4 linked regions of the Arabidopsis thaliana genome follow. The protein of the gene in region 1 purifies or fractionates together with the protein of each later gene. This does not show direct contact. Each region holds a gene or a part of one and is shown in the gene's direction. Other genes may lie near its edges.

Region 1 (7,661 bases):
CATTGGAAGCGTTTTTCTTGTTGCCGATTCTTTTGCATCCAGTTTTACTTCCTGAGCTAACGTCAGGACTAGACAAGTGTATGCAGCATTATGTATCAAAGGCGAAATCATCCTGCGGTAAGCAGTTGATTGTTTAGTTTTTGGAATAAAAAAGCTCACGCTTTGTTCATTTCACTTATGGAGTTTCTGGTTTTGTTTTTATATGGTTTCTATTAGGCTCGCGGAATACGTTTCTACCCGTTTTGCCTGCTTTAACAAGATGCACGGTCGGGTCCAGACTACATGGTGTATTCAAGAAAAAGGAGAAGCCAATGGTAGCTTCTCACAGGAGAAAATCACAGCTGGGGACGGGTAATGACTCGGCGGAAATACTTCAGTTCTGTTGCAGGATCAACACTCTGCAGTATATCAGGACAGAGATCGAATCATCTGGGAGAAAAACATTGAATCGTCTCCCGGAATCCGAAGTTGCAGCTTTGGATGCTAAAGGTAAAATATTTGAACAGTCGATTAGTTATTGCTCGAAAGGAATACAGCAATTGTCTGAAGCAACTGCTTACAAGATCGTCTTCCACGATCTGAGCAATGTTCTCTGGGATGGTCTGTACCTCGGGGAAGTTCCTTCCTCAAGGATTGAGCCGTTTCTTCAAGAGCTCGAACGGTGCCTTGAGATTATCTCCTCATCGGTTCATGACAGAGTCCGAACCAGAGTCATTTCGGACATCATGAGAGCTTCTTTCGACGGGTTCTTATTGGTCCTCCTTGCAGGTGGACCATCGCGTGGCTTCACAATTCAAGACTCTGCTGCCGTAGAAGAGGATTTCAAGTTTCTATGCGATCTTTTCTGGTCAAACGGAGACGGATTGCCTTTGGATTTGATCGAGAAGGTTTCGACGACTGTCAAGAGTATACTTCCGCTGCTGCGCACGGATACAGATTCTTTGATTGAACGGTTTAAAGCAGTGTGTCTGGAGAATCATGGTTCTGACAGAGGGAAGCTTCCGTTACCGCCGACTTCTGGTCCGTGGAGTCCGACAGAACCAAACACACTTTTAAGAGTATTGTGTTACCGTTACGATGAACCTGCGACTAAGTTTCTGAAAAAGACCTATAACTTGCCGAGGAAGCTAACCTGAGAGTGACCTACTTACTACATTGGTACAAAACCCGGTTTAGTTTGAAGTGTGGAATATATTTTGGTTAAAGCGGCTAGCGATTGGTATTTGGCAAATTAAATTACTTGTACAAGAAAGTAGAAACGTTTTAGTGAAATATTCTTCTTTTGTACTAATCAAAAGCTTGTGGGCTTTGTTATATGTTGTCAACTGTTATAAATTTGTATATTTAATACCTTTGTTTTTCATCTTTCTTTTTCAAATTTATCAGATTTCTGATTGATAATTCAAGATTGCAACGATGGTTCATGAAATGGTCCTTTAAAAACTCATAATGTTTATGTGATGGATAACATCAGATATATGATGATATGGTTGAAACTTGAAGTATTCTAACTTGAAGTCATGATTCATGATCCGTTTAACAACGTTTGAAATGAGTATCAGAAAATGATTATCGTAGATATGAAACTTTTCCTGCAGACACGTTCTAGTATTTTGCTAAAATAATAGTTTGTTGCTTATTCAACCAAACAAAAACACTTGTTCAAGTAGCGCAATATCTTCGATAGTTCGATTCATTATTATGATACCCTTCTTCGACTTCTTTGATTTCCTCGAGTTCTTCTCCATACGTCACATGACTCACATCGTCAGCGATTTCATGGCAATGTTACATGTGGTGGACGACATGGAGTATCCGCGACCGCGAGATGATCTTGAAGAGGTGTTTGCTTTATGAATGACGATGAATCGGCTCTGTTTTCCTGTTTCCAACGGTTGTAATCACACCATCATCGTTGTCTTCATCTATACTAATATTCAAATGGTCAATTATAAAGCCCAATAAGCTAACTAAGCCCAAAAATGAAAACACACGGACTCAGCCCATACAAATTTTAACACTTAAGGCTAATGGGTCTGTCACGTGCGGAATAGACTGAAAACAGAGCATCGCACGTGCCGCATCAAAATTTGAAATCACGACGACTTCAAAAAAATCCCAAATGGTAAGAAAAAAATAAAAAGTTGCAGAAAAAACAGAAAACCCTCTTTTCTCTCTCTTCTCTCTCTCTCGAGGAAGAAAGGCAACAACTATGGAAGCTATGCTTGTGGACTGTGTAAACAACAGTCTTCGTCATTTTGTCTACAAAAATGCTATTTTCATGTGCGAGCGTCTCTGCGCTGAGTTTCCTTCTGAGGTAATCACCCTCTTCTTTCACTCTCTCTCTCTGATTTTACCTCTCTAATTCAAATTCTGTAAATCGAAGCTCTTGGAATGGTAAATTTGATATTTTTGGGTTTGTAATTCCTCTGGGTATCTATGAATTCGTCGAAAGTGCGTCTCTTTTTGGATTTGGAATTCGATAGCTTCACTGTGTTCTTCGAGATTGATTTTGGTTTCTTACCTTTTAGCCCTTTGTTTTCAAGATCCGTGTGTTCAATTAGGAGATGAATTCGTGTTCTTTTCTCTCTCTTGTTGAATTTGTTTTCTCTAGTAGCTGTGCTCAATGCTCATTACTGATTTGGTCTTTGGAAAATTTGCATTTTGAGGGTTAATGACTTTTGTCCATATATGTGATCTCAAGTTTAAGTATTTATTATCCTTGGAACTTAGCTATGAGTCAACTGTTAGAGGAATGTCTCTGGGATTATCTCAAGCTTTGTTAAAATTTGGGTTAATACAGCTTCAATAGTAGTTGAGAAAGTATTCATTCATTCAGCCTTTGGTCTGGAATATTTTCAACATTCGTAGTGGTTGTCCAGTTTCTAGCTTCAGTTAGTAGAAATCATGTCAATAAATGATTGGCCTTTTTGTTTGATCACTTTCTGAATTTTCCTCTTATATAGGTTAATTTGCAGCTATTAGCCACCAGCTACCTGCAGAATAATCAAGCTTACAGTGCATATCATCTGCTAAAGGGTGCGTGGCATTGTTTCTTGACTTGTTGCTTGTTAGCCTTTTAGTCAGAATTTTGCACCTTCTTTTGTTAGGTCGTTTTGATTATCTTTGTATATATATTTTTTTTTTGTTATGTAAAGGAACACAAATGGCTCAGTCCCGATACTTGTTCGCATTATCATGCTTCCAGATGGACCTTCTCAATGAAGCTGAATCTGCACTCTGCCCTGTTAATGAACCTGGTGCGGAGGTATTTAATGTTCTCTGGTATTTTGCCTTTATTCGCTTACTGAATGTCATTTTACAAAAACAGTGTGTCAGTTTCTGGACCTTATTTATTGATTTAGTTCAGTGAAGATAACAACATGCTTCTGATTATTGTGCAGATCCCAAATGGTGCAGCAGGCCATTACCTTCTTGGACTTATTTACAAGTACGTTTTTTGTTCTGTCTATGCATTTTTTCTTGATTCTGAATGGCTTAGATGAGATGATTCCTCATATATAACAGTGACCTTTTAGGTATACTGATAGAAGGAAGAATGCTGCTCAACAATTTAAACAGTCCTTGACAATAGACCCTCTACTTTGGGCTGCATATGAGGAATTATGTATATTAGGTGAACATAATCCGTTTTCTGCATACTTCACAGATATGTTATGGTTCTCTTACACTTTTCTGTCTGCTCAACTTTCAGGTGCTGCTGAGGAAGCAACTGCAGTTTTTGGTGAAACAGCTGCTCTCTCCATTCAAAAGCAGTATATGCAACAACTGTCAACTTCCCTCGGCTTAAACACTTACAACGAGGAACGTAATTCAACTTCTACTAAAAACACGAGTTCTGAAGATTATAGTCCAAGGCAGTCTAAACACACACAAAGCCATGGCCTTAAAGATATCTCCGGAAATTTCCATTCTCATGGAGTTAATGGAGGTGTTTCGAACATGTCATTCTATAATACGCCTTCGCCAGTGGCTGCACAGGTAATGTCACACAATTGTCGTACTGCTTTTTTATGTAATACAACTATATCTCCATCTGTTGATCACACATTCTGTAGTACTTAGGAGATTTGTGCATCATGGGTGTTGATTTCACAGCGTTTGTATCTGTTTTTTCTATATCTGTTATGCCAAAAGAATGGGTTGTCTATTCTTTTGACTATTAAAAATGGGGTCTTCATTATGTTTTAGTGTCTTTGGTTTGGCTTGTTAATTTTATCAACCTTTTTAGTTATCTGAATAATAACAGCTGTAAGTAAATGCTTTTTTGTATTTTTGAAATTGTAGCTATCCGGTATAGCTCCACCACCACTTTTCCGGAATTTTCAGCCAGCTGTTGCAAACCCAAACTCCCTTATTACTGACAGTTCTCCAAAGTCCACTGTTAACTCTACTCTTCAAGCACCTAGAAGAAAGTTTGTAGATGAAGGAAAGTTACGTAAGGTAGGATTCACATAATCACATATCTCTACTTGACATCATCAAATCATAATTTTGAATTATTGGTCTTTCTCTGTAATAGTCTATTTCGTACTCGGGATGAAATTTTCTATACCAACTTTCTTACCGTGAGTGCATGTCTCTTATGTTTGCAGATTTCTGGCAGACTATTTTCTGATTCTGGTCCACGACGGAGTTCAAGACTGTCTGCTGATTCAGGGGCAAACATTAATTCAAGTGTTGCAACAGTAAGCGGAAATGTGAACAACGCTTCCAAGTATTTGGGAGGTTCTAAATTGAGTTCTTTGGCACTTCGTTCTGTAACACTTCGGAAGGGACACTCCTGGGCAAATGAAAACATGGATGAAGGTTGTGACATTCCATGCACTATACCACTATATTGTTTGAAATCTGCCCTTGTGTGACTATTGTTATCATGCCTTCTATTTTTGGTGTCTGCATATTTGTAATACCGTCATTCTGATGGGTTTAGGGGTCCGTGGGGAACCTTTTGATGATTCAAGGCCTAATACTGCCTCAACGACTGGTTCTATGGCTTCCAATGATCAAGAAGACGAAACAATGTCGATTGGTGGCATAGCAATGAGTTCTCAAACAATCACAATTGGTGTTTCGGAAATTTTAAACCTCCTTAGGACACTCGGAGAAGGGTGTAGACTTTCATACATGTACAGGTGTCAGGTAGGCATATTATTGTTCTCGTGAATTATGCAAGTGAGGTGAACCTATATAGGCTTATCTCATTGTCTCCTTCTGCTTCTGGGTCGTTCAGGAGGCACTGGATACGTATATGAAACTTCCACATAAGCATTATAATACAGGATGGGTTCTTTCCCAGGTAACTAGTGACTCTTTCTCTTTTAGGCTGCCATATATGGATATAGCCTGAATCAGTTTTACTCTAGTGGCCTGTGATAGTTATTGTTGAAAGGTTTATATACACATACTATGGCTATTAAATGTAGGTCGGGAAAGCATACTTTGAACTAATTGACTATTTAGAGGCTGAAAAGGCATTCCGTCTTGCCCGTCTGGCTTCTCCTTATTGCTTAGAAGGAATGGATATATACTCTACGGTCCTCTATGTAAGTGTATTATCCTGGTTTCTAAACATGCAATCTCGGATGAGTGCGGAAAGAAATCACATTTATGTAAATTTTTCATCAGCAAGATATGATATTTATTTGCAGCATTTGAAGGAAGACATGAAGCTGAGTTACTTGGCTCAGGAACTAATATCAACCGATCGCTTAGCTCCTCAATCTTGGTATTTTTTGTCGAAGTTGTTTTTCTGATTAACGTTTTCATTTATTGTTGGTAATAAGAGAAATAAGCAATCAATTATGTAGGTGTGCTATGGGAAATTGCTATAGCTTGCAAAAGGACCATGAGACCGCACTGAAGAATTTCCTACGAGCTGTTCAACTGAATCCAAGATTTGCATATGCACATACCTTATGTGGCCACGAGTAAGAGAGCCTCTATCCATTTGACTTTGTCTTGCACAATGTGCTTAAAATTATCTGGTTATTGGTCTAATTGACACTTTCTATCTTTACTGTCTCTGTAGATACACAACTCTTGAGGATTTTGAGAACGGAATGAAAAGTTACCAAAACGCACTTCGTGTAGATACAAGACACTACAACGCATGGTACGGGCTTGGAATGATATATCTACGCCAAGAGAAGTTAGAGTTCTCAGAGCATCACTTCAGAATGGCTTTCCTAATAAACCCGAGTTCCTCTGTTATAATGTCTTATTTAGGGACATCTTTGCATGCCTTGAAGGTTATCTTATTACTTTCATCTTATCAGGTCTACAAGAAAAACAATCTTTGAAGAATGACTAAATGCTTCTTCTTGTTTTGTGTTAATAGAGAAGTGAGGAAGCACTAGAGATAATGGAGCAAGCCATAGTAGCAGATAGAAAAAACCCTCTTCCAATGTACCAGAAAGCTAACATACTTGTCTGCTTAGAAAGATTAGATGAAGCTCTAGAAGTTCTTGAGGAGCTCAAAGAGTATGCGCCTTCAGAGAGCAGCGTTTACGCTTTAATGGGCAGGATCTATAAGCGGCGAAACATGCACGATAAAGCCATGCTTCATTTCGGTCTAGCTTTAGATATGAAACCGCCTGCAACTGACGTTGCTGCAATAAAGGTTCGAGTCTTTAAAACAGAGTCGTCCAATGATGGTTTTTAAATCTGAAAATTCAAGGATTCATAGCTTAAACTGGTTATTATTGTCTGAAACAGGCTGCAATGGAGAAATTGCATGTTCCAGATGAGATCGATGAGAGCCCGTGAAACCATAGCTACTCCAAGAACCTTGGGTATGAATTAATGTGAGACCGTTGCTGCTCCACGAACCATGGGTATGAATTATTTAGTGCAAAGCCTACCTCTTTTAGGGAACTAGTTGGGTTTGAATGTAGTTTTGTTACCAAACCGTAACACAGCCACAAGAGCCCACATGACTTGAGTATGTATCATGAGTTGATCTGTATGTTGTCCGTAACACTACCTAATCGCAATATATGATTTTTCCACATCTACATATACATTTTACCACTTAAACCTTGTTCATCAAAAGATAATTTATTTCGTTAGTTTTTAAACCTTGATTCAAACTTATATCTTTATTTTCCAAGAAATATCTAACAATATTGATCGACTGAGATATAATCAAAAGATACGGCTTCGACCACATACTGTACATGGTTTAAATTAACTTGTACACAAAAAAGTCTTTTTATGATTCATCTTTGTTTTCAAATTGAAGAATTCCCTAAGTAATATATTTTGTTTTTATTAAATGAAGCAGGGACACACAGACACAGTATAGTAAAGTAATCAGCGAATATTTTTACCATAAAAGTAAAAATTTAACAATTTAAAAAAAAAAAAAAAAAGTCAACAATTATTCTCCCAAAATGAAGCTGAGAACAAATCACGGATGTTGAATATATAATTCACGTGAATTATAATCTCATGATGATTATAGAAATTTTACGTAATTTACGAGATTTGCACTCAAAAATGAAGAAGAAGAAAAACGTAACTTGCGAGACTTTTGATACGTATAATTCTATAATTATATGATTTTTTTTTCTTCCGAACAATCATAACTCGACTTTCGGTGGGATTAACGAACGTCACTGATTCTGACTTTTGTGGTT
Region 2 (4,890 bases), on another chromosome or scaffold:
GTCGGGTTGGGGACATGGCGGGTAATAATGGCCGAGCAACAGCAAGGAGTTAGTGCAATCCATGTCCTTGAGGTGATTAGTGTTTAACCCTAGAGCTTCCGAGAGAAGCTCGAAGAGTAATTTACCCAATTTCATCACTTCCTTTGAGTACTCAATCATCATCTCCCTGAAAAAATGTCCACCAAAATCTTTAAGACACACTAATGAATAATGGGGGCGTAAAAATCTTCAACGAAATCCTAGCGCTTATAACTATTTGAATAAGTTATTATTGGATTTATGTATTTCAATTGTTATAAAAATTTGTTAAAAAAGAAAACGTATTATTGGATTAATATTCGTCTAACGAGTAGTGAAACACTATTCGACCATATATAATTTCTTCGGACCGAGGAACACAACATGTTACAAAAGCAAAAATAGTCAAACTCGTAATTTAACAAATTTGGAAATCTTACCCACAAGTGGCGGGTAAGTCCTCCGGTCTCGGGGGATCTGGTGCTGTATAACAACCAAGTGTATCTCTCCAATTCGCCGCCGGTGAGCTAAACAGATCGAAGTTGCTGCTGTATACCATCTTACTAGCTGGATCTCGAGAGTAAAACCCTTTCTTCACTTCAGTGTCTTGCTCGTGAAACTCACGAATCCCATCTATCATCTTCTCCAACACATCCATCGGGATCCCGTGGTTGATCACCTGGAAAAATCCCCATTTCTCTGCCGCGTCTCCGATCTTCTCCACCAAGCTCCGCCGCGTGATCGAGTCCGTGCCACCTCCTTTGAGATCGATTGTGGGGATGGAGAAATCAGAGGAGGAAGGTGGTTTTGGACTTGTTAAAGTAGCCGGAGGTGCACGAAATATCGAAGGAATCTCTGTGATTCCGGCGTCGATAAGGCCTTTCACGCCGGTTTTAGTCTCGTCGAAAGCTTTGAGTAGAGTTGAACGATCAAGTGCAGCAACTTGGGGAAGTGATGACTCCATTGCTTTTAGCTGAAAATGCAATTGCCGTTGGTTTGAAGTTGGATCTTAATACTACAAGTTGTCAAAAGTTTCACGAGTCAACGACGAAGATAGATGAGAAGAAGTACATGTCTTAGTTAAATTATTCACGTTTCCCACGTGGGGAAAAACCGGGACAAGAAAAAATAATGATAACAAAAAATAGGAAAATGGAGATGCGGGGTATCGATCCCCGTACCTCTCGCATGCTAAGCGAGCGCTCTACCATCTGAGCTACATCCCCGATGACGAAAATGTACAATTGGTCAAAATAAATTAATATACGAACTATACTAGTATCATATTCAACAGCTCATTTTGTCACGTTTATATATTGTATATACAATAATTTTTGTTATTATTTTATTTTTGGCCATCAGCAAGACCTTTTTAAAAAATCGCAACAATAATATTATTCAAGTATTCGGATAGTGGCTCTCGCGTCGAAATGTTTTGGAAGCCTGCGTCACTATCATGGTTAATGGCAAGTTGGCAACAACTACATGAGGTAATCCTTTGTCAAAAATAAATAAATTGAAATCTCTGATAAAAAGATAAAATATAGATTCTGTTCTAATACGATATTTAGTCGAAACTAATAAAAGAGTATATACGAACTTTTTAATGTCTTTGTAATTTGTAAATTCCGTTGTAGTTTTGTAAATTTAAGAAAGTTTTGTTGCCCCAAAAAAAAACGAAATTAAAAAGGAAGTTTTATTCGTTTGATTATTAGTTTATTTAGCTTCTTTTATTTCACCTTTGGGCCTTACACATCAAATCAAACTTAAAAGTTAAAAGGAAAACTTTGGGCCTTGGCCTCTGGGTTATATACTCTTAAGGCTTAACCCGACGGCGGTCAACTACCGGCCTGAAATAACCGGTTTTTATTTTTCCTTTGTTTCTCTTTTCAAAGTGCTCACTTTCCCGGTGACTCTTTAGTCAAAATTTCAAATTAATTCCTCTAAGGTGCCCTAATCCCGGCTGCTCGTCGGGGGAAAATAACCCGGCAGGGATTGAGCAACAGCGTGAGTCCCAAAGTGAGAGACAGTGTGAATCCCAAAGTGAGAGAGTGAGTGTTTTAGCGACAGAGAGATATGGCCGGATTAACGAGAACGGCCGGTGCTTTTGCGGTAACTCCACACAAGATCTCCGTTTGCATTCTCCTGCAGATATACGCTCCTTCCGCTCAGATGTCTCTTCCTTTTCCTTTCTCTTCCGTTGCTCAGCACAACCGCCTCGGCCTCTACTTGCTCTCTCTTACTAAGGTTTCACTCTTCGATTTCTCTCGAATTGCAATATCTTGTAGTTTTTTGAGGTTTAATTCAGCAATGTCTTTTGATTCTTCTGAGTTTCCTGGCCCGTCTCTCATACCCGAAGTTGTATCGAGTTTCTTTATTGCATTTCTTAGAGCTTCTTTGCTAATTTCTGAGATTGATTTCAGCGATGTCTGTTGTAACGATTTCACGGCTCAAAACTCTTGTAACTTATGTTGATTTCATGAGTGAATAATGAATTTGCTGGTTTCGTGTGCTAACAAACTGTTCTTTTCCCTGACGAGATTGATATTCATGCTGCAGTCTTGCGATGATATATTTGAGCCGAAGCTGGAAAAGCTCATCAACCAGTTGAGGGAAGTTGGTGAAGAGATGGACGCGTGGCTAACTGACCATTTAACTAATAGATTTTCCTCTTTGGCTTCACCAGATGATCTATTAAATTTCTTTAATGACATGCGAGGTTAGCTACTTGCTTGCTTAAGGTCTGTTTTTTCTTCTTTTCCATCATGTTTGACTCAAATTAGTTATCATTTCTTTGTATGTAGGAATACTTGGGAGCCTTGATTCAGGAGTCGTGCAAGATGATCAGATTATTTTGGATCCCAACAGCAACTTGGGAATGTTTGTTCGTCGTTGCATTTTGGCATTCAACCTTTTATCGTTCGAGGTATTGAGCTTTTTACGTTTGTGTTATTCTTGTTTTATTTTGAGACTGAATAATATTAATATTATTCAACATGACGTGTAGTTTGAGGTTTTGCTTGAAGGACGCGGATTTGTTAGCTTTTTCGTCAGCCACTTAATTGTGTCTAAACATCTATGTGAAGTTTGTTTGTTTCTTGACCCACTACAATGGAGTACTTGTCTAGGCTAGACTTAAATGTAGACGCATGTATAGGTACATTAAAATATGATATCTAATGGCAGAACTCTGGCTGGTCTGGTTGAAGTGTAATATCTAGCTGTAGTGTTCTTGATTGCTGCAGAAACACATAAGTGAATGTTTGAAAGAACCGTCCATTTCATTGATATGTGCAGGGAGTTTGTCATCTTTTTTCAAGTATTGAAGATTACTGCAAAGAAGCCCATTCAAGCTTTGCTCAGTTTGGTGCACCTAATAATAATCTGGAGTCATTAATACAATATGATCAGATGGATATGGAGAATTATGCAATGGATAAACCAACTGAAGAAATAGAGTTTCAGAAAACTGCTAGTGGAATTGTCCCTTTTCACCTTCATACACCAGATTCACTTATGAAAGCGACAGAAGGTATCCCTTATGGTATTCACCCAATTCAGAGAAAACCTAGAGTTTTTCAGAGTCTCAGGTGCTAGAAAACTATGAGGAAATAGAGTTTTATATTCATGATCAGGCTGCAATTTAGCTGCCACTTTTCTCATATATGTTTGGTAATGTATTTTTGCTGATGATTAGCATCAGTCATAGGATCAACGTTTTATCAAAGTCTTTCGATGTGTTTGTATGAAGCTTTTTCAGACTTTTCTTTTTTAACAGTTGGGCTTCTGAAGATATTTCCCTTTTTCCCTTTTGTAATGTAGAAACGATCTACTAAGAAATTAATTTTGTCGGTTTTTTATATTTTTGTTTCATTCTTATGCTTTGACACTCACTTGTCTTGTAAGGATCTCAATGTTATAATAATGCACAGAACACATGAAACATTGCAGGTTTGCTACATAATAGGAAGGAAACATCAAGGACCAGCAAGAAAGATACAGAAGCTACTCCAGTTGCTCGTGCCTCAACAAGTACACTTGAGGAATCTCTGGTAGATGAGTCATTATTCCTTCGGACAAATTTGCAGATACAAGGCTTTTTAATGGAACAGGCCGATGCAATTGAAATGTAAAGTCTCTTTTTCCTTAGTATTTATATATTTCTGTCATAAGTATTGCTAGTTTTTAAACTTTCCATCCCCTTGTAATTTGATGTCAGCCATGGAAGTTCAAGTTCATTCTCTTCAAGTTCCATCGAAAGTTTCCTTGATCAGCTTCAGAAATTAGCCCCTGAACTGCATCGTGTAATGTCTTGCAATTTTGTATTTTATTTTCAGTTAAATCAGAAGTTAATCATTCTTTCAGTGCTTTGATTCTTACATCACGACATGCAACAATGCAGGTTCACTTTTTGCGTTACTTGAATAAACTTCACAGTGATGACTACTTTGCTGCTTTGGATAATCTCCTCCGTTACTTTGATTACAGGTAATCTGTACTTTTTGCTAATTTTCTCTGTTTCCTAAAAATTTATGTTAAGAATAATATTACTGCCGAAATCGTTTATTGTTTGCATGTGACTCCTGTAAATATCCAGTTGTGTTTGCCTGTTAGATATTTGGCACTAGGAACGTTGTTTCAAACATGAGCTGATCCATGATCCATTGCCTTAAAGTGCAGGGACTGAGGGATTTGACCTTGTTCCTCCTTCAACTGGCTGCAGCATGTATGGAAGGTACGAGATTGGTTTGCTATGTCTGGGAATGATGCATTTCCGATTTGGGCATCCTAATCTGGCTCTAGAGGTGAGAATTCATTCTCCCGAGAGCTTCTATAGCTAAAAACTTGTTCTTGACGTTTAGAATCGTCTCT
Region 3 (3,973 bases), on another chromosome or scaffold:
GTAGAAGAAGCAGACAGGGCTTATCTAGTATAAGTGGGATAAGCATAATATGTGAACGGCCCACATCCTCACAAAGCCAAGTCCAACTATCACAAGATTCACTCATTCCACTAATAAACGTTTTCAAATTAGAATGACAGAAGAATATGATAGTTAAAACTACTCATTAATATATTGGTGATAAAATAAAATAAAATAAAATAAAATTAAACTACTCACATATAATTGGTTGGATTAGTCATTAAAGATAGCACTTAGCAAATCAAAGTAAAAACAAATACTCACTACTAATAATAAATTAACCGGAAGCAAAGGGACAAGAAGTATTGATGGACAGTAATATCACGTGAAGGGGCACGTGATGACCCAATAATCGGTTAACACGTAACCAATCCCCTCGTGGGACTCTATCCTAGTCTCTAGGCACCACCCCACCCCTCACATAAAACCATCGTTCCATTTTGGTTTTAGGCCGACCTATCGGTTTTTCATTTTCGTATAAAACAAAACAAAACAAAACAAATTTACATTCAACAAAAAAAAAAAAAAAAAAAAACCAAATTACAAAAATAATTAAGAATGGGGCCCACATGAAGGGGTCGATAATTGAAGCAAGGGTGACTCATCTTGAGGATAGGACCCTCTAAGCTCGCCACTTGTTTCCTCATTACTCAGCACTTTCAATTTCCCCCGAGATATTTCACGATAACTTAACCATATCGTACCGTATCGCTTTCCTATACCTGGATCCCACTAATCCATTGTGCACGGTATCGCTTATTTTAGATCTTTTTGAATTTACCTATTTACCCTCACCCCAATATCCCTCTGGCTATAAGTACCAACCTCATCTCTTCATTTCCTTCCTACAAAAATCGAACTAATCTTCCTTTTTAACAAAAGCTTCTCAAATCTTTCAAAGGTTTCCAATTTACGAAGAAAGGATCTACAACATATAATCACTATTAAAGAATGAGTTATCTGAACAAAGTGTGGATGGCAGCATCGTTCGTAGCTGTTCAAGGAAACGCCGATCACGGCGTCAAGTTAAAAAGCGGTCTCACCTCTGCTCACCGTCTCCAACGAAGACTTTCCTCCGATCTCCGTCCTCTCGCCGCCGCAGATCTAACCGGCGACTCTCTCCCTTCGGAAGAAAGACGTCGTACCTCTTCTTCCACTCCCGATGAGTCTCTCCGACAAGTCATGTACCTCAACTGCTGGGCTCAAGGCTAAATTCAGATAATGATGGTCGTGGCTCGCTCATGAACTCCGCTGAATCAGAATTTTTTTCTGATGCAAACTGTATATAGTTTGGTTCATCTGTGGTGGTTGACTCGTGCTTATGAAATCGCTTGAGTCGGATTTTCTGGATGCAACTGTATAGTTTGGTTACATCTCTGTGAATATTAGAATGTTCTAAAAGATCAAAGCAAGCCTTGGATTATGAGAGAACTCTGTTCATTTTCTATATCTTAAAACATCGTTCGCTCACCAACTTTATTACAATCTGGAATCTTGATTGCGATTACCACTAATTTCAACTTTATCCACAGTAAAATACGATTCTAAATTAAACAATAGTACTAAAATATTCCAAAACCATCGTTATCCAAAGAGACAGACAAGTCAGTCACTCCATAATGCTTTTATTTATTTATCTATTGTGGTTGTCATTATTGAGGTAGGTCCTATAATTCATCTTACGAGCAAACTGAAATGTTATATTCGTCGGGCCAATTGTGCGAGGAACAAGAGGCCCACAACGAGATCAGCTCTTGGGCTATTTGGCCCATTTATGTAACTTGGCTTTGAATGAAATCGGAGCGTGGCTGCTTAATCCAACGGTCCAAATCTGACGACGCTCCTTAATGGAGTAATGAGTAACGTCTCCTTCATTTCCAACGGTCAAATAATCCTCAAGAAATACTCGCTTCTTCCTTCTTCCTCCTCAAGTGTCCAATTCTTTCTCCAAACCCTAAATTTCTCGTAGAAGAAGATCAAATCGCTCTGAATATGACATCAATTGAGGCAACAGAAACGCTTAACGCTCCTCCAAAGCTTCAGATCTGGAACAACGCTGCCTTCGACGATGGAGATTCTCAAATCACTTCCGCCATCGAAGCTTCTTCTTGGTCTCACCTCAACGAATCATTCGATTCCGATTGTAGCAAGGAGAATCAGTTTCCGATTTCGGTTTCCTCTTCGCTCCAATCCTCAGTCTCGATCACCGAAGCTCCGTCAGCAAAATCCAAGACCGTGAAGACCAAATCCGCCGCAGATCGGAGTAAAAAGCGAGATATCGATGCAGAGATCGAAGAAGTAGAGAAGGAGATCGGACGATTATCGACGAAATTGGAGTCGCTCCGATTAGAGAAGGCGGAGCAAACCGCAAGAAGCATTGCTATACGTGGAAGAATCGTTCCGGCGAAGTTCATGGAATCATCTCAGAAACAAGTGAAATTCGACGATTCGTGTTTTACAGGATCGAAATCAAGAGCCACTCGTAGAGGCGTTAGTCTTGGACCAGCGGAGATATTCAATTCCGCGAAGAAATCTGAAACTGTGACTCCTCTTCAATCAGCTCAGAATCGACGCAAGTCTTGTTTCTTTAAGCTTCCTGGAATCGAAGAAGGTCAAGTGACGACACGAGGTAAAGGAAGAACGAGTTTGAGTCTGAGTCCGAGATCTCGCAAAGCGAAAATGACGGCAGCTCAGAAGCAAGCAGCTACGACGGTGGGGTCAAAGAGAGCTGTGAAGAAAGAAGAAGGAGTTCTCTTAACAATCCAGCCTAAGAGGCTATTCAAAGAAGATGAAAAGAATGTTTCTTTAAGGAAACCATTGAAACCAGGAAGAGTTGTGGCTAGTAGGTACAGTCAAATGGGTAAAACGCAGACTGGAGAGAAAGATGTTAGGAAAAGGTCGTTGCCTGAGGATGAAGAGAAAGAGAATCATAAGAGGTCGGAGAAGAGAAGAGCTTCTGATGAAAGTAACAAGAGTGAAGGGAGAGTGAAGAAGAGATGGGAGATTCCAAGTGAAGTTGATCTGTATAGCAGTGGTGAGAACGGTGACGAGTCTCCTATAGTTAAGGAGCTACCTAAGATCAGAACGCTTCGTCGTGTGGGAGGGAGCCCTCGTGATTCAGGTGCTGCTAAGAGAGTTGCAGAATTACAAGCCAAGGATCGTAACTTCACTTTTTGCCAGCTTCTGAAGTTTGAAGAATGAATGATCCGCTTATCAATTTGAGTAAAATCCACAACTCTTGTTGTGGTTACTTGATTGTGAATTTGTTTGGTTTTGATTTTGTTTTTCGGCTCGCAGAGCAAGAATCTTTGTTGGAATGCTTAATGTCTTTTCTAAATACACATTAAGATTGTGAGTTTTTGTTATCTTTTGTAAATGTCAGCTTCATGAAGAAAGATTCTTTCAAAAGGTTTTTGCTTTGCCACTCACAAACAAGAAGTTTGGCCACAGCTTTGTGAAATTTACACCAAAAACAAACGAAAAAGAGAGAGACTGTATCTTGGTTTCCTCTTAAACACATTACAAAATGCAGTATTGAGTCAGATGCGGCTTGAATCCCTCCCGAATATGTACCTCCTTGTCCAGTCCGACACCACCAGAGCCCTCGTTCGCCAGCTAACTTGCTTGCTGCATCATTCATGTTTCATGTTTCAAATTCTGTGCATTTACTATAATGAATAAAAGAGTTTCTCAGCGTTTACCTGGCATAAACAGAATACCAGAGCCACTGGGCGCTTTTTCCAGCTGAAACCCAGTCTCCAGGTAGTTCAGCTGCTGCTTGGTCCCCTCCTAGTGGAGCAAATTGTCCAAAGTGCTTGTACCTGTAATCAAGCGAAGAGCTTTCATCTCTATATCTTGGAAGTTTATGAGGATGCAAGGTCCTGAGTTCATTAGATTAGGCATACTGGAAGGGGCGAAACTGATGATGCCCGCCAGTTCTGAAGCGCTTAGG
Region 4 (7,086 bases), 7.7 Mb from region 1:
AGAAGAGACGTACATTATGGAAGTAGAGAGACTAAGTGTCAGCTATTTGAGAATCCACCTATAGCTATCTCAAAACTAACTCCACACCTAAACTTGCATCATCTCAACATCTTCCTCCTACCTACTCTTTAACTCTTGGTTTCTCTTACTTGGTCCAGTCTTTCCACTATTGAACTTCCAAGACACCAACAGTCGCGTTGTAAGTCTGTCTATTTACTTCATTTGACGAGAGCATAGTGCTCGGTTATCTGCAAGCGAATACAACATAATGACTTCAGAAAAAAAACCATCGAAGCAAAACAGGTTCCTACTTAGTGAAACCAAACCCACATAATACATATCCTAATTTCTTTACCTGTTTTTTTTACTGCTATTACTCCACCTCATTGTATTCAACCACTGCATCATAAGTCTCCATCGTGAGTATACTCTCCGCAAAACATCTGAAAAATGTTTTCTTTCTCATCAGAAATAGTATATGACCAAAAAACCTAAACCAAACAGATATCAGCTCTATCATCTGTTCAGACTTACAAGTCACTAGGTTTAGGTTGCCTATGTGTTTTCTGTACTACTATACTAAACCTGTAACTACTTGAAACTCTGAAAAAACCCTAGCGTATAAAAATCTTACCTTAGTTCATGCCAAAATATATCCACCTTATCAGACAAGAATTTTCGAAGAGAGGAGACTTCATCTTCCACCAACATCCCGGTCTGCCCGGTTTGTCGATTATTCTCTCTCTCAAGCCTTTTGATGAAAAGAGCTGACGCAAAATGAACAATAACTGAGGGATCAGGATCTCCAAGGACTGCCTGAAGCTCTCTTCTAATCCATGGCTCAATTCTTTCAGTTATCTTTGCTTTGGTGTAATCATTCACCGCCAAACTCTACAATAATCCAAGATGACACAACGAAGCAGGTATATATAAGGCTTCCAATGTGAACATATATCCAATAATGTAAGAGTGTAAACCCCAATACTACAAACATCAAACAGAGAAGAACACATTGTATAATGAAACTTACTAGTTCCAAGCGCCTTGAATGTAATCGAACAGCTCGTAATTGCTTAGTGTATATGCTGTATTTAGAGCCAACACTAGTTAGAAACAACGGCGAACTAATCTAACACTTCGAAAAAGGAGATTGCAAATGAAGCTATAGAGTTAGAATCAATAGTAAACCAACCTAGCTCGCCACTGAAGCTTTCGCTGGAAGATAACAGAATCAGGAACTGAACCTGGTCGTCCAAATGATCTCCGCCATGGCAATGGCCTTGATCTTGAGCTAGAGTTTTCCAAAACATCCCTCGACCTTTGAATTATCCTAATGAAATAATAACCAAGTGAATATAATAAAGAAGTGATTTTTAACTTCATAGAGAGGATCTTAGAGAGAGAGATAACCTCCGGCGATCGGAAGGATTATTCCGATGATAAGTTAAAGTCTCACGATCACGAAGAATTGGTAATTGCTCCTTATGGTATTTTCTAGAAGCAAAATCACTAACGATAAACCAGGAATCAAAACGAGTGTTACAAAGAGGACAATTCCTCTTGAAGCTGCTCCACTTCCGAATACAAGCAAGGCAGTATCCGTGCTTGCACACCGTGATCACGGCGGCGGATCTTCGCTCGGTTAGATTTTCGAGGCATATCGGACACGATTTCCCCTGTAAAGCAGGAAATATTGCTCTCCCTGCAAATTTCGCGATACTTTCCGGCGATCGAAGATGTCTCGAAGACGAAGGCGCCGTGGAGGACGGTAATGGAGGCATGACCGGAGATAGAGATTGTTCGGTGAAGTCGGGCTCTTGGAAAAGTCGGGTTTTAATGAACCGAGATGGATTTCAGATAGATAACCGGTTAATGTCGGTTTGGGTTGACTCGGTTCGAGATTTCTTGTTTCAAAATGAAGAGCGAGCGTGAAGGATCTTTTACTTCATCGCTGCTCCGAAGAAAAAACTTCACCATTGCCACTAACGACGAACTCTCTTGTCTCTGAAATGGAGGTTCCAAAGGAGCAGATCGCGACTTTAATAGAGCATGGGCTTTACGATTCTGCTGAAATGCTCGTAACTTCTCTAGCTTTTAGCTCATTTTGATTGTCTATCTCTTTTTTTCTAAATCCCTAGTTTTCATCAAGAGCTAATGAAATTCTCTCTATATATGCAACTAAATCCAGGGCTGCTTTCTCGTTTCTTCTCCTACTGTTAGTGCCGAAACTAGTCCTCAGCTCAAGGCGGAGAATTTGGTTAAGCTTCTTTCTCCGTCGATATTTTCTATTTTAGTAGCTGCTGAGTCCGTTAGATTGAAGTTAGATTCTTTCTGTGTTTTTTAATCAGATTCTACTGGGTGATGCTTTATTTCATCAGAGAGAACACCGGAGAGCTATTGTAAGTTCTCAAAAGTTTCATTCTTTATGTTTCTCTTTTGCTGTGAAGGAAATGTTACTCAGTTCTCGATAGTTTAGTTCTGCCTCAAATTTGAACTCTATAAATCATTCTCGGAACTTGAATTTGACTGGATTATGATAAAATTGTAAAGATTCTGATTATATGAATTTATGGAGTGAGCAGAGATAAGTTTTATATTTGTATTGCTTATTCTTTTCCTGTGGATTACTTTGAAGTCATCTCGAAATTCTGAATATGTATTCCTTCTTTTTGTCAGCATACGTACAAGCAAGCGTTGCATCATTACACAAGGATTCCGAAGCAAAGCTCCGGTATTTCGAGGAGTTCATTATCTTTATCTACCAGATCATCTGTGAATGCCTCCAGCATTTCTGCTATTAATGAGAACGAGGTAAATAACTGTGTTGCAGTTTCCAGAAAGTGATGTGGTTTGGTTTAATTTCATTGGAGTTCATGTGCATCTTCTTTTTCTAACTTTCCTTTTAGGTGAGATTCAAGATTGCTTCATCTCACTTTGCTCTTAATGAAACAAAAGCTGCGATTGCTGAGGTATGAGTGTCATCTGTTTGTCTGGTTTTCAAGATTTATTTAGTCTTCTGGATTTGTTGGTCTAGAAACTTTGGTATATAGAAAATAAAATATGTGTGTATGAGACGGTAAAAGAGCTGTCTAGGGATTTCTCTATTTCTAAGATTATAGATTGGTTTTGTATAGGATGACTTTTATGTCTTGCTATTGTATTTTATAACCAGAGTTAAGTAACTGTAATTTCAGTGAAACATTCTTGGGCCGTAACTAATGCATTGTTATAGTATTCCTGAATGTGAGTTGAATTTTGTTGCGTTGACCTGCTCCCATCAATGCAAATCCATATTACAAAACAAGTAAACTAATTGGATTCCTTCCAACACTGCATGTAGGTATTAGGGATGATAAAGCCATGGTCTGCTTAGCTATAATCTATTTTTGCACTTGTTATTTCTTTGCCAGATGGAATCTGTCAAGACCAGGAGCTTAGAGATGAATATACTGATGGCAAAGCTTCATCGAAATTCTGGATACAACCGTGGTGCTATTGCTTTTTATAAAGAGTGTTTAAGGTCTGTTTTTCGTTTTCTTTCCCAACATTTCCTAGCATAGAAACACTGTTATAATATCTCACTTTTTACGTTAAATACCAATTCAACACATAGTAAACATATATATAATCTTTAATCTCTGCAGGCAGTGTCCTTATGTACTTGAAGCCGTCATAGGTTTAGCTGAACTGGGAGTTAGTGCAAAGGATATCATATCATCGTTTACTCAGGTGTCCCTTTCTACGAGATTTCTTTCACCACTTCTTCAAATGTGTTTTGCACCTCTTTCTCTCTATTTTGCAATTACCTTTTCTGTGTGAAATCCATACAACTTTGTAATTTGTTGTGTCATTTGTTCATTTCAGACTTCAAATAGAAGTGCAAAGGTTTCACTCGATCAGATAGATCCTACCCGCTGGTTGCAAGTAAGCTTACTCTTTAACAGGATTTACAACGTTGAAAATTGTTTGAAAGTACACTCATTAATCATGCCGCCAAGCTGATTATTGTACGTGAGTTAGAATCTTATTTTATCAACTATTTTCCCCCGAATACGACTTCATATATAATGATTCTAAGAATTCTGTCTTCAAGCTGTTCATGTGTGGAAAGTGAATAAATCGTCTTAATAGTATTATTCCCTTTAACAAAGTAGTGCTTTGATGTTCTTGTGTTAGTAGAAGCTCGACTATTTAACCAGGAAACTAATACTCCACATAACTTTTCTTGGATGGATGTTTCATTGGTTTCATGTTGTAGCATACCTGGCAATAAAATCTATTTTCTTCTTTGTCTTTTTCGGTAATTTTTCTTTGTTTTCACAGCGTTATGTAGAGGCCCAGTGTTGTGTTGCTTCGCATGCTTACAAAGGTAGCTCTCTTTTCTTTTTGGGATGCCTATGCCTACAATGGATGAAATAAGGCATTTAGTTCTTTTTTTTTAACCTTGTAGATTTCATTTCTTGCATTTTATTTGTGGGAAATTCTGCAATCTGATGCTTGCTTTACTGGATATGGTGTAATATTTTTTTGTTACTCAGGGGCGCTGGAACTCTTTGCTGAACTCTTACAACGATTTCCAAATAATGTACACTTGTTGACTGAGACAGCAAAGGTTAGGGATGACATCGACTACGATGCAAACAGAATTTCACCTGAATTTTTCATTTTATCATGACTGACGCTGATTGACATTTATTTCATTTGTATAGGTTGAAGCCATTATTGGGAAAAATGATGAGGCCATAATGAGATTTGAGAAGGTAGTCACCACATGGATATTTTTTTCTCAATTCTCAACTTCTTTAATTCATGCATAATCATCTAAAAGCTTTTATAGGTTCGGTCAATTGATCCTTACACACTAACCAGTATGGATGAGTATGCGATGCTGCTTCAGATTAAGTGTGATTATTCCAGGCTAAACAAGCTCGTCCACGATTTATTAAGCGTTGATCATACCAGAGCAGAAGTATTTGTTGCTTTGTCTGTACTATGGGAAAGGAAAGATGCAAGGACGGCATTATCTTATGCTGAGAAGGTTAGCTTTTTTCTGACACTGAATTTTTGTGCCAAAATCTTTGTGTGATAGCTCATGACATACACTATGCAATCAGAGTATCAGGGTAGACGAGAGGCACATACCCGGCTACATAATGAAGGTAAGCTAGTTCAACGAGGAGTTTATTTATTTTTAGTAAGTTTGCATATATATATATATCCACTAATTTGTTAAGACGTCAGGGAAATCTACTTTTACAAGCAAAACGACCAGAAGCTGCAGCGATCGCCTTCAGGGCTGCCCAGAATTTGAGGTCCGATCTTCGTTCATATCAAGGTCTGGTTCACGAGGGAAAAAGATCTGATATACACTTCCACTGTTGTACTGTTTTGGTGGTATAAACCTTTAACAATCATGAAAAGGTTGGAGTGTGTAATTAACTTGCGCTATTGAGGTCATTTCAGGCTTAGTCCATTCTTATCTTGCATTTGGTAAAACCAAAGAAGCATTGTATACCGCCAGGGAAGCAATGAATGCAATGCCTCAATCCGCGAAGGCTCTGAAATTAGTTGGTGATGTTCATGCGTTTACATCAAGTGGCAGGGAAAAGGTACAAACATTCAGCTTTGTTATGCTTCTATGGTGTCAATTTTCATCATATCAATATTCTATCCAGATTTTTTACATCTTAATCAGAAGCGGTGAAAGCTTTAGGGAGTTAGTTGCATATAATACTAAATATTGAAACTGGGAAAGTTCCTTAAACTTAACTGTTCAAATCTCAATTTTGATAAGCATAGTGTATACCAAATCTGAGAAACTATTCAGAGCTTGTGAGTATCTTCTTGTGATCTTTACATTATGTATAAAAATTTATGGTGTAACAGTAGAATGATATGGTTTTATAACAGGCAAAAAAGTTTTACGAGTCAGGTCTGAGGCTGGAACCTGGGTACCTTGGAGCTGTGTTAGCCCTAGCTGAGCTTCATCTAATGGAAGGGAGGAATGGAGATGCTGTATCACTACTTGAACGATATCTCAAAGATTATGCAGATGATTCTCTCCACGTCAAGCTAGCTCAAGTGTTTGCTGCAACGAATATGCTACAAGATTCTTTATCACACTTTCAAGCTGCATTAAGGTTTATGAAATTCTAAGCCAGTAGTGCTTATAGTTCTTGTTGCTCCTATGCGAAACAATAACGATATAACAGAGTGTAAATAATGTAAACGCAGAATAAATCCACAGAATGAGGCAGCCAAAAAGGGACTAGATCGCTTGGAGAAACAAATGAAGGTTGGGAAGAATCAAATCGAACCATTTTATTATGAAGCTCGAACAAGGATGATGTTTAGTGTATTCACAAAATTGGGGTGTTTGTTGCAGGGAATAGACCCAGATGCAACAGATGAGAATGACGAGAACGATGTTGAAGATGTTGATGGAGACACCGAAGAAGCTGAGCTCATGTGAAGAGTAGAGAGACAGAAGAGTGTGTAAACTGTAAAACTATCGAATCCTTAACATTAATATTAATAGCAAATGTCATTCCTTTTGTTTCCTATAAACAAACTTAGAATATGAAAAGAAACGAAAAAAAAGACCAATATTCTACAACATTGGACGTCGTGACGTGTAAATACGCCATTGGTTAAAACACACCAAGAGAACCCATTACCAAAGTCTCACGGAGAATCCCATCTCTTTCCCCACGCCAACTCAATCTTTTTCGTCGTCAAAAGCCAAAGCTTTTTGCTTTTTTGTCTTAATGGGTTTCATCTCTTGCATCTCATTTCCGACGATCAATTCAAGAATTCTATCGACTCACCACTTTTCCAAGCACTCGACTTCAGCGTCTTCTTCATATTCACTTAAGTTTGCTTTGAGACGTCAGGAGGATAAACCCAAAGTCTCGTTTTTTCTTCCATTAACGTCTTCGTTAATGGCGACCCCTATTCAAGCCTCTTCTTCCTCCACCATTGGTATCTTCACTCTCTACTTCTTCAATTCGACTGCTTTAAGGATTAGTGAACTTTGACTTTTAAGATAATCCTATGTTAATCTTTTATGCTTAGTGAGGTAATTAG

What was found.
Region 2: the proteins of HBT (region 1) and AT1G06590 purify together in Arabidopsis thaliana (affinity purification with mass spectrometry, with the first as the bait; one large-scale study listed by BioGRID). This does not show direct contact.
Region 3: the proteins of HBT (region 1) and AT4G28230 purify together in Arabidopsis thaliana (affinity purification with mass spectrometry, with the first as the bait; one large-scale study listed by BioGRID). This does not show direct contact.
Region 4: the proteins of HBT (region 1) and APC7 purify together in Arabidopsis thaliana (affinity purification with mass spectrometry, with the first as the bait; one large-scale study listed by BioGRID). This does not show direct contact.

What each region holds. Positions count from the first base shown.
Region 1 is NC_003071.7:8,631,452-8,639,112, reverse strand, and holds HBT (CDC27 family protein), read left to right. Parts: upstream 1-1,812; 5' UTR 1,813-2,212; coding exon 2,213-2,317; intron 2,318-2,966; coding exon 2,967-3,039; intron 3,040-3,158; coding exon 3,159-3,268; intron 3,269-3,404; coding exon 3,405-3,451; intron 3,452-3,539; coding exon 3,540-3,637; intron 3,638-3,715; coding exon 3,716-4,002; intron 4,003-4,308; coding exon 4,309-4,464; intron 4,465-4,616; coding exon 4,617-4,830; intron 4,831-4,954; coding exon 4,955-5,163; intron 5,164-5,254; coding exon 5,255-5,320; intron 5,321-5,447; coding exon 5,448-5,567; intron 5,568-5,672; coding exon 5,673-5,749; intron 5,750-5,831; coding exon 5,832-5,951; intron 5,952-6,052; coding exon 6,053-6,272; coding exon of another isoform or gene 6,273-6,323; exon of another isoform or gene 6,324-6,361; coding exon 6,362-6,643; intron 6,644-6,738; coding exon 6,739-6,789; 3' UTR 6,790-7,154; downstream 7,155-7,661. Other genes in the region: AT2G20010 (Gls protein (DUF810)), read left to right, coding at 1-117, 217-1,136. UniProt on the Arabidopsis thaliana protein: Component of the anaphase promoting complex/cyclosome (APC/C), a cell cycle-regulated E3 ubiquitin-protein ligase complex that controls progression through mitosis and the G1 phase of the cell cycle.
Region 2 is NC_003070.9:2,021,710-2,026,599, reverse strand, and holds the start of AT1G06590 (anaphase-promoting complex subunit), read left to right. Parts: upstream 1-1,850; 5' UTR 1,851-2,094; coding exon 2,095-2,265; intron 2,266-2,577; coding exon 2,578-2,737; intron 2,738-2,822; coding exon 2,823-2,944; intron 2,945-3,315; coding exon 3,316-3,550; intron 3,551-3,969; coding exon 3,970-4,147; intron 4,148-4,237; coding exon 4,238-4,322; intron 4,323-4,420; coding exon 4,421-4,506; intron 4,507-4,693; coding exon 4,694-4,823; intron 4,824-4,890. Other genes in the region: AT1G06620 (2-oxoglutarate (2OG) and Fe(II)-dependent oxygenase superfamily protein), read right to left, coding at 1-166, 459-982. UniProt on the Arabidopsis thaliana protein: Component of the anaphase promoting complex/cyclosome (APC/C), a cell cycle-regulated E3 ubiquitin-protein ligase complex that controls progression through mitosis and the G1 phase of the cell cycle.
Region 3 is NC_003075.7:13,995,239-13,999,211, reverse strand, and holds AT4G28230 (uncharacterized protein), read left to right. Parts: upstream 1-1,904; 5' UTR 1,905-2,013; coding exon 2,014-3,222; 3' UTR 3,223-3,433; downstream 3,434-3,973. Other genes in the region: AT4G28240 (Wound-responsive family protein), read left to right, coding at 973-1,233; NDB1 (NAD(P)H dehydrogenase B1), read right to left, coding at 3,561-3,648, 3,723-3,842, 3,927-3,973.
Region 4 is NC_003071.7:16,312,157-16,319,242, reverse strand, and holds APC7 (tetratricopeptide repeat (TPR)-containing protein), read left to right. Parts: upstream 1-1,852; 5' UTR 1,853-2,009; coding exon 2,010-2,078; intron 2,079-2,188; coding exon 2,189-2,257; intron 2,258-2,348; coding exon 2,349-2,399; intron 2,400-2,676; coding exon 2,677-2,811; intron 2,812-2,906; coding exon 2,907-2,969; intron 2,970-3,410; coding exon 3,411-3,520; intron 3,521-3,644; coding exon 3,645-3,729; intron 3,730-3,864; coding exon 3,865-3,924; intron 3,925-4,323; coding exon 4,324-4,369; intron 4,370-4,538; coding exon 4,539-4,612; intron 4,613-4,709; coding exon 4,710-4,760; intron 4,761-4,837; coding exon 4,838-5,038; intron 5,039-5,114; coding exon 5,115-5,159; intron 5,160-5,241; coding exon 5,242-5,335; intron 5,336-5,463; coding exon 5,464-5,609; intron 5,610-5,910; coding exon 5,911-6,140; coding exon of another isoform or gene 6,141-6,156; exon of another isoform or gene 6,157-6,234; coding exon 6,235-6,295; intron 6,296-6,385; coding exon 6,386-6,472; 3' UTR 6,473-6,586; downstream 6,587-7,086. Other genes in the region: AT2G39100 (RING/U-box superfamily protein), read right to left, coding at 374-443, 635-891, 1,031-1,085, 1,193-1,330, 1,411-1,781; EMB2799 (NAD(P)-binding Rossmann-fold superfamily protein), read left to right, coding at 6,768-6,981. UniProt on the Arabidopsis thaliana protein: Component of the anaphase promoting complex/cyclosome (APC/C), a cell cycle-regulated E3 ubiquitin-protein ligase complex that controls progression through mitosis and the G1 phase of the cell cycle.